Linked DNA regions of Kluyveromyces lactis. The protein of the gene in region 2 purifies or fractionates together with the protein of the main gene of each other region. This does not show direct contact. Links are inferred from orthologs where the notes say so. Each region holds a gene or a part of one and is shown on either strand. Other genes may lie near its edges.

What was found.
Region 1: the proteins of CWC21 (region 2) and PRP8 purify together in Saccharomyces cerevisiae (affinity purification with mass spectrometry; 3 studies listed by BioGRID, with this or other methods). This does not show direct contact. The link is inferred for Kluyveromyces lactis from reciprocal best matches to the Saccharomyces cerevisiae genes CWC21 and PRP8.
Region 3: the proteins of CWC21 (region 2) and CEF1 purify together in Saccharomyces cerevisiae (affinity purification with mass spectrometry; 4 studies listed by BioGRID, with this or other methods). This does not show direct contact. The link is inferred for Kluyveromyces lactis from reciprocal best matches to the Saccharomyces cerevisiae genes CWC21 and CEF1.
Region 4: the proteins of CWC21 (region 2) and PRP46 purify together in Saccharomyces cerevisiae (affinity purification with mass spectrometry, with the first as the bait; 3 studies listed by BioGRID). This does not show direct contact. The link is inferred for Kluyveromyces lactis from reciprocal best matches to the Saccharomyces cerevisiae genes CWC21 and PRP46.

The regions. Positions count from the first base shown.
Region 1 is NC_006037.1:471,930-476,229, forward strand, and holds part of PRP8 (U4/U6-U5 snRNP complex subunit PRP8), read left to right. Parts: coding exon 1-4,300. UniProt on the Saccharomyces cerevisiae protein: Functions as a scaffold that mediates the ordered assembly of spliceosomal proteins and snRNAs. Required for association of BRR2 with the spliceosomal U5 snRNP, and the subsequent assembly of the U4/U6-U5 tri-snRNP complex.
Region 2 is NC_006038.1:878,805-881,130, forward strand, and holds CWC21 (U2-type spliceosomal complex subunit CWC21), read left to right. Parts: upstream 1-1,370; coding exon 1,371-1,826; downstream 1,827-2,326. Other genes in the region: OAZ1 (Oaz1p), read left to right, coding at 665-1,243; KLLA0_B10076g (uncharacterized protein), read right to left, coding at 2,273-2,326. UniProt on the Saccharomyces cerevisiae protein: Involved in pre-mRNA splicing. May function at or prior to the first catalytic step of splicing at the catalytic center of the spliceosome, together with ISY1. May do so by stabilizing the catalytic center or the position of the RNA substrate.
Region 3 is NC_006039.1:634,851-638,174, reverse strand, and holds CEF1 (Cef1p), read left to right. Parts: upstream 1-1,192; coding exon 1,193-2,824; downstream 2,825-3,324. Other genes in the region: EFR3 (Efr3p), read right to left, coding at 1-546; CAF20 (Caf20p), read left to right, coding at 3,037-3,324. UniProt on the Saccharomyces cerevisiae protein: Involved in pre-mRNA splicing and cell cycle control.
Region 4 is NC_006042.1:1,034,208-1,037,299, reverse strand, and holds PRP46 (mRNA splicing protein PRP46), read left to right. Parts: upstream 1-1,287; coding exon 1,288-2,592; downstream 2,593-3,092. Other genes in the region: pseudouridine synthase PUS7, read right to left, coding at 1-1,026; NuA4 histone acetyltransferase complex catalytic subunit ESA1, read left to right, coding at 2,957-3,092. UniProt on the Saccharomyces cerevisiae protein: Involved in pre-mRNA splicing. May also be required for cell cycle progression at G2/M.

The sequences.
Region 1 (4,300 bases), on a different chromosome or scaffold from region 2:
AACGTGAAGAGTTAGCTTTAATTGAAGAGGCATATGACAATCCTCATGATACCTTGAATAGAATTAAAAAACTATTGCTAACCCAAAGATTATTCAAGCCAATACAACTAACAATGATGGATCATTATCAACACATATCTCCAGTCTATAACGTTGATCCGTTGGAGAAAATTACCGATGCATATCTTGACCAGTATCTATGGTATGAAGCTGACAGAAGGCAGCTTTTCCCTAGTTGGATAAAGCCAGGTGACTCAGAAATCCCGCCACTTCTTGTTTACAAATGGTGTCAAGGCATTAACAACTTAGATTCTGTATGGGACATCAGCAAAGGGCAATCGACCGTATTGTTGCAAACTGATTTACAAGAATTCGTTGAAAAGATGGATTTGACACTAATAAACAGGCTCCTAAGGTTAATTATCGATCCGACATTAGCGGATTACATTACTGCAAAGAATAATGTCAGTTTGATCTTTAAGGATATGAATCATGTTAACAAATATGGTCTAATAAGGGGATTACAATTTGCACCATTTGTTTATCAATTTTATGGTTTAATGATTGATATTCTCATCTTGGGACATGAAAGGGCACAGGAACTAGCAGGCCCTCCAAACGAACCATCTGAATTCTTGCAATTTCCAGATAAAGCTACTGAAACGAAGAGCCCAATTCGCCTCTACTCACGCTATCTTGACAAAATCCATATTTTATTCCACTTTGAAGAATCTGAGTCTGATGAGCTTATCCAAGACTATTTGATGGAAAACCCCGATCCAAATTTTGAAAATTCTGTTGGTTATAACAACAAGAAATGCTGGCCTAGAGACGCCCGCATGAGGTTAATCAGACACGATGTTAATCTAGGTCGTGCTGTTTTCTGGGAACTTACATCTAGGGTACCAAAATCACTTGTTAACATAACGTGGGAGAATACTCTTTCTTCAGTTTATAGCAAGAATAATCCTAATTTACTTTTCACTATGTGCGGTTTTGAGGTGAGAATACTACCGAAATCTCGGATGGAAGATGTCATTTCTCATGATGAGGGTGTATGGGATTTGGTGTTGGACTCCACAAAAGAACGGACTGCCAAAGCGTTTTTACAGGTATCACAAGAAGCTATTGATGAGTTTAGAGGTCGTATTCAAAGTATTTTGATGGGTTCCGGCTCCACAACTTTTACAAAAATTGTGGGCAAATGGAATACTGCACTAATCGCTTTGTTTACCTATTTTAGAGAATCTATCGTCACGACAGAACCGTTACTCGACTTACTCGTGAAATCTGAGACTAGAGTTCAAAATAGAGTAAAACTCGGCTTAAATTCTAAAATGCCAACAAGGTTCCCTCCAGCAGTGTTTTATACACCTAAAGAGTTAGGTGGTTTGGGAATGCTCAGCGCATCGCACATTTTAATTCCCGCTTCTGACTTGAGGTGGTCAAAACACACAGATACTGGAATAACACATTTCAGGGCAGGGATGTCCCACGAAGATGAGAAGATGATACCAACAATTTTCCGATACATTACTACCTGGGAGAACGAATTTTTGGACTCACAGAGAGTATGGGCGGATTATGCTGCTAAAAGACAAGAAGCCATAAAACAAAATCGTAGGTTGGCATTTGAAGAATTAGAGGGTTCTTGGGATAGAGGTATACCGCGGATCAGTACCATATTCCAAAAAGATAGGCATACGCTAGCCTATGATAAGGGTCACAGGATTAGGCGACAATTCAAAGAGTATTCAGTGGAACGTAGTAATGCTTTCTGGTGGACAAATAATCGTCATGATGGTAAATTATGGAACTTGAATGCCTATCGTACGGATGTCATTCAGGCCTTAGGGGGTATCGAAACAATTCTTGAGCACACATTATTTAAAGGAACTGGCTTTAAATCATGGGAAGGACTTTTCTGGGAGAAAGCCTCTGGTTTTGAAGATTCAATGCAGTTCAAGAAACTTACTCATGCACAAAGAACTGGTTTGAGTCAGATCCCTAATCGTAGGTTTACGTTATGGTGGTCTCCGACGATTAATAGAGCGAACGTCTACGTTGGGTTTTTGGTGCAATTGGATTTAACAGGAATATTCTTGCACGGTAAAATTCCAACATTGAAGATATCTTTAATTCAAATTTTCCGAGCACATCTATGGCAAAAAATCCACGAAAGTGTGGTTTTCGACATCTGTCAAATTCTGGACGGCCAAATGGATATACTACAGATTGAATCTGTTCAAAAAGAATCAATTCATCCACGTAAGTCGTATAAGATGAATTCGTCTGCTGCTGACATCACATTGAACAGTATTTACAAATGGAAGGTTAGCAGACCAACATTGTTGCATCAGACGAAAGATTCTTTCGACGCTACCACAACTGACAAAATGTGGATCGATGTGCAGCTTAGATATGGTGACTATGATTCTCATGATATATCAAGATATGTCCGTGCGAAATTTTTAGATTACACCACAGATAACGTGAGCTTGTACCCGTCTCCTACTGGTATTATGATCGGTATTGACTTGGCCTATAATATTTACGACTCCTATGGAACGTGGTTTGAGGGATTGAAGCCCTTGATACACAACGGTATGAAAACAATAATGAAAGCTAATCCAGCACTTTACGTTTTGAGGGAGCGTATCAGGAAAGGTCTTCAGATATATCAATCTCAAGTTCAAGAGCCATTTTTGAACTCATCCAACTACGCAGAGCTATTTTCCAATGACACAAAATTCTTTATCGATGATACGAATGTTTACCGGGTCACTGTTCATAGAACTTATGAAGGCAATGTGGCTACTAAGCCTATCAACGGATGCGTGTTTACTTTAAATCCGAAAACAGGTGAACTATATTTGAAAATAATTCACACTTCGGTGTGGGCGGGGCAGAGCAGATTGGCTCAATTGGCAAAATGGAAAACCGCAGAAGAAGTAAGTGCATTGGTTAGATCGTTACCCAAAGAAGAACAACCTAAACAAATTATAGTTACTAGAAAAGCTATGATGGACCCTATGGAAGTACACATGTTAGATTTCCCAAACATTTCGATTCGTCCAACTGAGCTCAGATTACCTTTTTCTTCTGTTTTGAACATAGAAAAATTAAATGATGTTGTTTTAAGCGCTACAGAACCGCAGATGGTTTTGTTCAACATTTATGATGACTGGCTAACTCGAGTTTCTGCCTACACTGCTTTCTCTAGATTGATATTGCTATTAAGAGCGCTCAAAACCAATGAAGAAAAAGCCAAAATGATTCTATTAGAGGATCCTACAATCCCAACGAGAGCTAATCATCTATGGCCTTCTTTTACTGATGATCAGTGGATTGAAATTGAGACGAAGATGCGTGATCTAATTCTCTTAGAGTATGGTCAAAAATACAATGTAAACATTGCTTCTTTGACTCAAACTGAAATCAAGAATTTGATTTTAGGACAGAACATTAGAGCTCCATCTGTTCAGAGGCAGAAGATGGCAGAATTGGAGGCTGCAAGAAATCAGAAAACTGATGAGTCGTCGCAGTCTGCCACGGCAGCCATGAAGCTAAAAACAATCAATGCTCAAGGTGAAGAAATTACAGTGGTGTCATCCAGCAATTATGAGTCCCAATCTTTCAGTTCGAAAAATGCTTGGCGGTCAAATGCAATCTCCAATTCATTGCTACATTTGAAGCTTAAGAACATATATGTTACTGCCGAAGATTTTGTAGAAGATAAAGATGTCCTCGTATTCCCACGGAACTTGTTGAAGAAGTTTGTCACAATAGCTGATGTCGATGTCCAAATTGCAGGGTATATGTACGGGTCACCTGTAAAAGATCACCCTAATGTGAAGGAAATTAAGACGATAGCACTTGTCCCTCAACTCGGCAGTTCCGCAACTGTTCGCATATCTCCTCCCCCCTCATCTTCCAAATATCTCAACGACATGGAACTGTTGGGATGGATACATACCCAAAAAGTCGATTCCAAATTCATGTCACCATCTGAAGTGATCACTCATTCCAAAATGTTTTCAGATCATAACGAAAGTGCTGTTGATTTGTGCATAAATCTAATCCCAGGTGCCGTATCAATTACAGGATATACGTTAAGCACTACGGGTTTCAACTGGGGCTTACAATCGAAAGACATAACGGACCCTTCACCAGAAGGGTTTGAAGCTTCATTTAGCGAGACTGCACAGATTTTATTATCTGAACGCATTATGGGCAATTTCTTGGTACCTTCGTCATCGATATGGAATTACGCTTTCATGGGAACTGCTTTTAGCGAAGA
Region 2 (2,326 bases):
TTAATAGAAACATCTAGCAGGGCACATCCAAATTCGAACACTTCTTTCAGGTCTCTTTGCCCTCAGAAAAGACGTGCAGGATTTTGGTCATTTTGTTTACCGGCATTTCTAGCGGCAGGAACCCCGGAGCTAGCTCATCACATGACTTGCGGTGTGTGAATGGTTACCCGGGTTTATCCGTGCATTACCCTCCTTCATCTTAACCCTCACAATTGAAAATCACAATTCAAACACCGTCCATGTGATATGCAAAGGTGTATCATATAAGTGCGTTATGTAATGGTAAATAAAGGAATGACTATGACTAGCTCATACCAGCTTATCGGTTTGTTAAACAATATTTCACCTGGTTGGTTATCAAAACGCTGTTCCCGACTCCTTCAGTCAGTTATATCATAAATTTTGCCCGCATCACTCTCCAAAATGAGTAGAGTAATACATAGAAACGAGCTATACAAGAGACAACAGAGGATAGAAAGCTATGTATCGGGTTTACTAGATGAGTTTTCCCCCTTGGCTATCGACTTCCCACTTATTGACTTGACGAAAAATAAAAGACACGATAACATAGACGTACTACCTTCTTCCACAACGACAGATAATAATTCGGATGAATTTCTAATATCACCAAATTTTTACCAGTTTAAGAACAGAGAATGGTCAGATGTTACTCTTCGGCTGGCGTAGCACCGGATTGTGTAAATTTCAGTTGGAACAGTATTGGGATATCTTATTTCTATTCGAATCCAAGTTTTACCAGTTTAAACCGCAAGATTATAAACTTTGGACGACGTATCTTGTGAAAAATGTCAGTAAACTCTTGAAACAATTGGTGCGTGGGAGATCAATGGATTCGAAGGTTTATGATATTGGTTCTAACTATTTTACTATCTTGGACCCAACTTTCCAGCTGTTCGGTAAAATCCTTCTATCATCCGATCTGGGGAAAATTGCATCGATTTATCTACACCATGTCTCCACATCTGCGTACTCACAGGACCTTCGGCAACTCATACTCAAAATATGGGAATTCTTAGACCACGATAATTTTCAATGCGATCTAATGGTATTCTACATTGCCAATACAATCGAAAACCATGATTTGATTACGAATTTATTACGGAACCTAGCATGGCTAAACGGATCCTTGATGAAACCTATTGGTACGCGCACACTGGATTCTACGTTTAGTTCCATCAGTTGGTCAGATGATAAGTATGTCATACTTCAGTTTCAAGTTTGAAAGTGGATGTCTTCACTCTACTGTCCCTCTGTCTAGTAACGATATGTATGCGTGTATTTAAGTATTCCAGAGTTAAACACCCATACATCACATTATTAATAATAGCTATATCAGTTTTAACGAATTGATGAAATGGAATGAGTTAAGCTACACGCTGCAGTATCACTGTCACTTCAAACCATTACACTCTTGGCTGCTGAAGGGAATATACCAACCCAGCTGCTCGTGTCTCTATATAATAATGTCATATAACGGCATCGGTTTATCTAGTGCCAAGGGAAGCAGCACCTCCGGTTACGTTCAACAATCGTTAGCATTTACGAACAGGAAAAAGGACCCTAGATTAACTACACATGATAAAGAACAACAGCAACAGCAACAGCAGCAACAAATACAACCTGCTAAAGATGAAAGCGTAATATCCCACAAAGCGAAAAGGCAGATCGAATTATTAGTTTCTGAGTATCGTGATAAACTAGAGGATGGACCGGATGATTTGTCTGATGACACCATAGACAGTAAATGTGAAGACTATCGCAGGTCTATACTAGAAGGAAACGAGCAGTCAAGAAGTCAGAATTGATTAATAATTTCGCTTGGTGTATCATAGCTATATTACATTTTAGTACTAGTACACGATTGTTAAACATGAACTATAAAACTTAGAACTAATAAAATAATATACAAAACTGCAACTTTCTGGCTCAAAGGTAAAAGTGTAATTTAACAAGATAGTCAACGTTCTGCCCCAATATAATCTTGTCGGGGCTTTTATTGATGCATAATAAAAGAAGTAAGATAATATGTTTCTCCCCTGATGAAGTGAATGTCCGTACAATTATCTTAACACTGAAAGAGAAAGGAAGGTTTAAATGGAAGAAAAGTAAAACGGTGTTTTAAAAGATGCCATGAACTGAGAAATAATTTGAATTTTTAGAGTCTTTTCATTGTTTTAACAGGCAATCGATTTATATGATATGCCCTTCGTATAATTTTAGATTTTATTTTGTCGTGTAAATTTTCATTCATTCATTCATTTCTACACCAGATAGTCAAATTTTTGAATTGTTCCAAACCTTTGTC
Region 3 (3,324 bases), on a different chromosome or scaffold from region 2:
TTGGTGAATGCTTCCCAAGTTTGAGATCTTTGAAAAGTCTAAGCAACCTTTCAAAACCAAATCTGTGTCATTAAGTTTAGTGTTAGCAACTTTGAAGTACAGGGTTACGAAGTTTTTGAACAATTCTAAAAACTCAGAGTCCCCACTTACAAGAGACCCATCCAAATGGTTACAAATAGCTTCTAAAACTCTTTCAATCAAACCAACAATAGTTGGATCATTGTTAAAATTGTTGTTGTTCAACACTAAAGTCATAATGTGGATGAAATCTTTGATGAAAATATTCATGTTTTCATTACAATTCTCGACGATTTTAGCCAGTAGCTCTAGAGTGACAGAGACATTACCGGAACGTCTTCTGTTCAAATCCGTTGTCGACCTCTTCACAAGGTAACTGCTGACCTTTTCCAATTTTGGACGTCTCGAATTAACATAATATAACAAGTACGAAGTCTCTGACCCTTTTGGCTTCTTATCGGGAGTTCGGCCTGGTGGATAACACTGATTCACCAATTTCTGGTGCTTAGGGGTGAAGAGAAAGCCCATTGACACGGATCGTTGGAGTCTTTTGGATGGGTTTTATCGTCGAACCATCAATAGTGTTGGCGATTTCAATATAGTATGCAATTTCTAAGTTTAAAAAATGTCTTCGAACAAAAAACCCTTTTCCAGTTTTTATTGCGTAATAGAGAGCCAATCATTATATAAACAAGGGAACTAGAAAAACTATAGCTGAAAAAGAACATAATAATGTTAATGATGATCATTATTTAATAAGAGAAGAACAACATATACTTTCTCATTATCTGTCATGTGTTTTCTGAAAGAATTTCAGAGTTTGTTGTATTCTAATAAAATATAGGTAGTTTAAAGACCGAAGTACTGACTGGAGGAAGTCACAAAAGAAACCAGTATCCAGCATTGCTGAAATAATACGAAAAAGGTACCTATGCTCTTGCGAGTAAAGCAATATGTAAACTATGTGTTCGGATACAGTTCCCTCTTTATTCGCTGACATTGTTTTATTTCTTTATAACACTGTGTAAATCTAGATAATCCAATTTTGGGATTGGATTGAAAATAAAATTGACATATACTTGGTGGAAACATAGGAAACTAATTAATAATAGTATCAGCTAAAGCTGTAACGTTGGTTCAAAGGGAAGTTAATCAAAGGCGGTAACCACGTACGATGGCTCCTGTTCCGATTTATGTCAAAGGTGGTATTTGGACGAACCTTGAGGATCAAATATTAAAGGCGGCTGTTCAAAAATATGGAACACATGCATGGAGTAAAGTAGCTTCGCTTCTACAGAAGAAGAATGCCAGGCAATGTCAATCTCGTTGGAATGAATTTTTGAATCCCAGTCTAAACTTCAAACCATTCAGCCAGCAGGAAGATGATAAACTACTAGATTTAGCGAAAAGAATTCCAAACCAATGGAAAAGCATCGGAGAAATGATGGGTAGACCTGCTCAAACATGTATCGACAGATATAATATCCTCCTGGCGATTGATAAGGATGATTTAGAGCTTGCAGCAACTACAGGGGTACAGATCGGTGAGATCAACCCAAATAACGAAAGCTTACCAGCCAAGGCTGATAAAGATGAGCTACTTGACGAGGAGAGAGAAATGTTGGCGGAAGCTCGTGCCAGGCTATTAAACACTCAGGGTAAAAAGGCTACTCGTAAGATAAGAGAACGTATGCTAGAAGAAAGTAAGCGTGTTGCATTCTTACAGAAGCGTAGAGAGTTGAAACAAGCGGGCGTTGATAGTAAAATCAAAGCTCCCAGGAAGAAATATTCTTCGCAGATGGATTACAACGAGGATATTGCGTATGAACAGCAACCACTACCGGGTATATACGATACCTCAAAGGAGGATGAACAGACTGAGAAGCTACTCAAGAGTTTTGAGAAATTGGTAGAAAGGAAAGGTTTACTTGACAGGAAATCTGATGAAAAGAAAACCATACCACAAAAGAGAAGGCAAGGCGAACAAATAACGTCATCAGTAACAAAATTAGATTCTGTACTAACTGATGAGTACAAGAAACCTAAACTTGAGCTTACTCCTGCTACTTTAAAAGGATCAAAACGGAAGATAAACAAAACAACATCTATACTTCATTTATTTGAATCATTGCCTTCTCCTAAGAACGATTTTGAAATTGTATTGGATGATTTAGATGAAGAAATGGAATCCACTGATGCTTTTAATACTGAAAGTTCGTATGTTAATGGTAAATATCCCCTAGAAGCCTTAATATCTTCCACGGAACATCAATCGGAAAACAAGGCAATGGAAATAATGGAATACATACCGACAGTATTCCAAATAAAAACAGAATTACAGGTACCCAGTCCGATAGTAGATCCAAAGAATGAAATTGACCGTGAATTGAATCGTATAATCTCAGCAAAGGAGAATGGTAACCCCATTTACAATTCCACGGAAGTAAACAATTACTTAGAAGAGATCATTAATTCTGCATCCACCACCGAAGTGCCCAGCACTGTCTTACATCCCAAGTTGGAAACTAGCTTAAAAACTATAACACCGGCTACGGAGCACGAACTGCTCGGCATGGAACGAAAAGTGCATGAACTGCGAACAGCGCTTGAGGATTCCGTCAAGTCTCACAGAGAGGCTGTTTCACAACTTTCACAAGATTTTGAAGAAAAACTACATCCGACAGTGTCAGGCTTAGCATACCAATACTACACTGACTACATGAAGTACAGGAACGACCATAAGACTATGCAAGAAGAGACACAATCTCTTGCGGAACAGATCAAACTTGCCCAGCGTAGTCAATGATTACCCGGACCCTTCTTTTTGAGTCTTCCTTCCATAATCATGAAATTTTCAAATTATGAACTTAAAGATGAAAAGATTTACGAAATTGCAAACTTTAAGAACAATATGAGACAGTTAGCAATTGCTCTGTGTGGACATAACAATTCTCCCCTTTATTTCTACTGGAACTCTTTCGAAGCCATCACAAAGCAAATACTAATTCCCGGGCCACGATGATCAGGTACACAGAAGAAGAACTTTTACAATTAAGACCAACCGAACCAGTTAAACCAAACTTCGACGTTGATGAATTCAACGCTATAATTGAAAAAGTGAAAGAAATCCAAGAAGCACATGAAGAAGAATTTTCTCACTTCAGAAGAAGATCTTCTCACCACCATGCTAAACCAAAATTCAAGCATTTGAAACCAAAAATTACTACCGATGAGGAAGGATGGTCTACACTAGAAACTGCTCCAGCGGTCAGAAGAAAGTCTGTGGCTGAAGAAGAAGAACCAACC
Region 4 (3,092 bases), on a different chromosome or scaffold from region 2:
GAAATAATTGATGAACCCATTTTGTTCCAAGGATTTCATGCCATTGGCTAGGATATCATCCAAATCATCGCCTTCATTCTTCAATGAAACATCTCTGATAGCAATAGTGAATTCGTTTCCCTGTAGATCTCCCAAGTTCAATGGCTCATCTTCGAATTTGTAGCCACCTAGAACGACACCCTTCAAGCCCTTGTTTAGTCCGTTTAATCTGTCCAAACCAATTTTGGATAAAGACATTCTTTGACAAGTGACAGCCCTACGATCCTTTGTTCCAGAAAATCTGATCAACCTTGTTGGAATTCTCATGAATTTTGATAAAGTATTAGCGACATCCATAGTATCTTTGTTTTCCTTATAGACAGTAAAATGAATAAACGATTTTGATGGACCATAACCCCAGTTTTCGACACCGTTTGCATCCTTAGTTTGTTCGATCAATTCTTCTTTGCTAACACGTGTTTGGCGAGAAGCCATTCCAACAATGAAATGGTTTGAATCCGTCGTTACAGATTCTAACTTGTTGTCGAAAGCTCTACGTAGCAGTTGATGTATTTTAGTCCTTTCAAGTTTATCATCGAATGCCTTCGATGTTTCAATCTTTTTATTTGAGCGGTACACAGCTTCAATTTTTTGAACATCCTCTTCTCCCAAAAGTTCAACAAGTTCATTTCTAATTCCTTCATCCACCTTAAATCCTTGGCGTTTCTCAAGTTCTTCTTTTTGCGATTGCTCGATTTGTTCTCTCGTTGGCTTTGGCTTCTTTGGCATATTAAAACCTTTGTCAGTCAAATGCACAACTTCGCCTTGCTTGGTGATTTCATTGACTAAAAAGTCAGTGTACCTTTGTTTGATCTGACCATTGAAACCAACATTATCCATTGATAAGTAATGCGTGATACCAACATCCTTTTCAGTGATGTTGTTATTGTTTATACCTTCATTTATACCTTCACCAACTTTTGTCCTCTTAATATCTTCTTGCTGGGCAGCAGCTTCGGACTCTCTTTTCAAAGATTGGTCTGACATTATACCAATACTATACTTTAACACGAGAGTACTAATACCTGGTACTTGTTATAAGCAATTAAGAAGCGCAGCTTCCAGATTTGAACAACTGACTTCTGCTTCAATGTGATGAGATGAGATGAGATGAGCTCGAAATTTTTCAAGAAACGAAAAGAACCGTTTTGTATGATGGATATTATGAAAAGTTAACGAAGTGACATATACAAAGATGAAAGAGAGTTACACGACTTAATCGAACTGATAGACAACTAATAAGTACCAATGAATACATCCAGCCGTAGCTCTGAACCTTCGAAGGTAGCAGATGATGTTTACGTTCAAACTCGGTGGAATAATGAATTTAAACATGCTGATTATTTACCTGAGTCGTTACAGAAGTGCCTGGATCAAGAAAAGACTGTTTTAGAAAGGTACAGTGAATTAGTTGAGGTGTCGAAAACTGTTGCAAACGAAAGCTCTCAAGCATTAGTCAAACATACCACAAAACCAGGCGACCAACTAGTACGAAGAGTGTTCCAACAGCCACATCAGCAGATTTCATTGATGGAACGTTATGAAAAGACTCGAAGTTATAAACCGCAATGGCATGCACCATGGAAACTCAGTAAGGTAATAAATGGTCATACTGGATGGGTAAGATGTGTATGCGTGGACCCCGTTGACAATGAATGGTTTGCTACTGGTAGCAACGATACAACCATTAAAATCTGGGATTTAGCTGCGGGAAAGTTGAAAATTACTCTAATCGGGCATGTAATGAGTGTTCGAGATATTGCTATCTCAAAGAGACATCCTTATATGTTCTCAGCAAGCGAAGATAAACTTGTAAAATGTTGGGATCTAGAAAGAAATACTGCAATTAGGGATTTTCACGGTCATTTATCTGGCGTGCATACCGTTGATGTTCATCCGAGCCTTGATATAATAGCTACTGCTGGTCGTGATGCTGTAGTAAGGTTGTGGGATATACGATCAAGATCTGAGATAATGGTTCTGCCCGGTCATAAAAGCCCTATAAATAAAGTCAAATGCCTTCCCGTTGACCCACAAATAATCAGTTGTTCCGGGGATGCAACAGTTAGACTTTGGGATATCATTGCAGGGAAGGCAAGCAAAGTTTTAACGCACCATAGTAGAAACATCAGAGACTTGACGCTACACCCAGCAGAGTTTAGCTTTGCCAGTGTATCTACGAACGACGTCAGATCCTGGAAATTGCCCGAAGGACAGCTATTAACCAACTTTCAATCCCAGAACACTGGGATTTTGAATACCGTATCAATTAATCACGATAATGTACTATTAGCTGGTGGAGATGACGGTACTTTGTGCTTTTACGATTACAAAACAGGACACAAATACCAAAGTATGATGACAACTGAAGTTGCTGGCTCACTTGAAAGTGAGCGATCGATTTTATGCAGCACCTTTGATGTCACAGGAACAAGACTCATCACAGGGGAAGGAGACAAAAGCATCAAAATATGGAAGCAAGTCCCTGATGCTACAGAAGATACATTCCCTGGCTTGCCGTGGAATCCCACGTTAATATCTCAAAGATTCTAATCTAGCTGGTGTCTACTTGCAGCGACTTATGTAGAAGTTTGTAGTTTAACTCTATTAGGTCCCCGTTTTCCATCTATCTAGAATATTTCAGTCTGCATTAATTGCGAGGTTTGCTCTAACTGTCATATGATTACAGTCACGTAGTCAAGGACAGGGAACGTCAGGTTTTCTTGTATGTTTGTTCAAGCATGGTGTTTGCTTTAATACGGTAATCTGAATAAATTAACTGAAATTTAGCATCTTCAAAATATTTGAACTTATTAGTTACGCAATAAACCAAATCCAAAAACAGAGCACCTCTGTAAGAGGAACTAGTAAGGCAAGGCAACTGTTTAACAAATATTTTGGGCGAGCTCGCTAATACATGAGTCACGGCGAAGAAAAGGAACCTGGGATTCCCCAGAAGGTTGACAGCATCGATGAGATTTTCGTTGGATGCAAGTCATGGGTACTAAAAGATGGTCAAGATCGTCTTGCTGAAATTCTATCCATTAACAGCA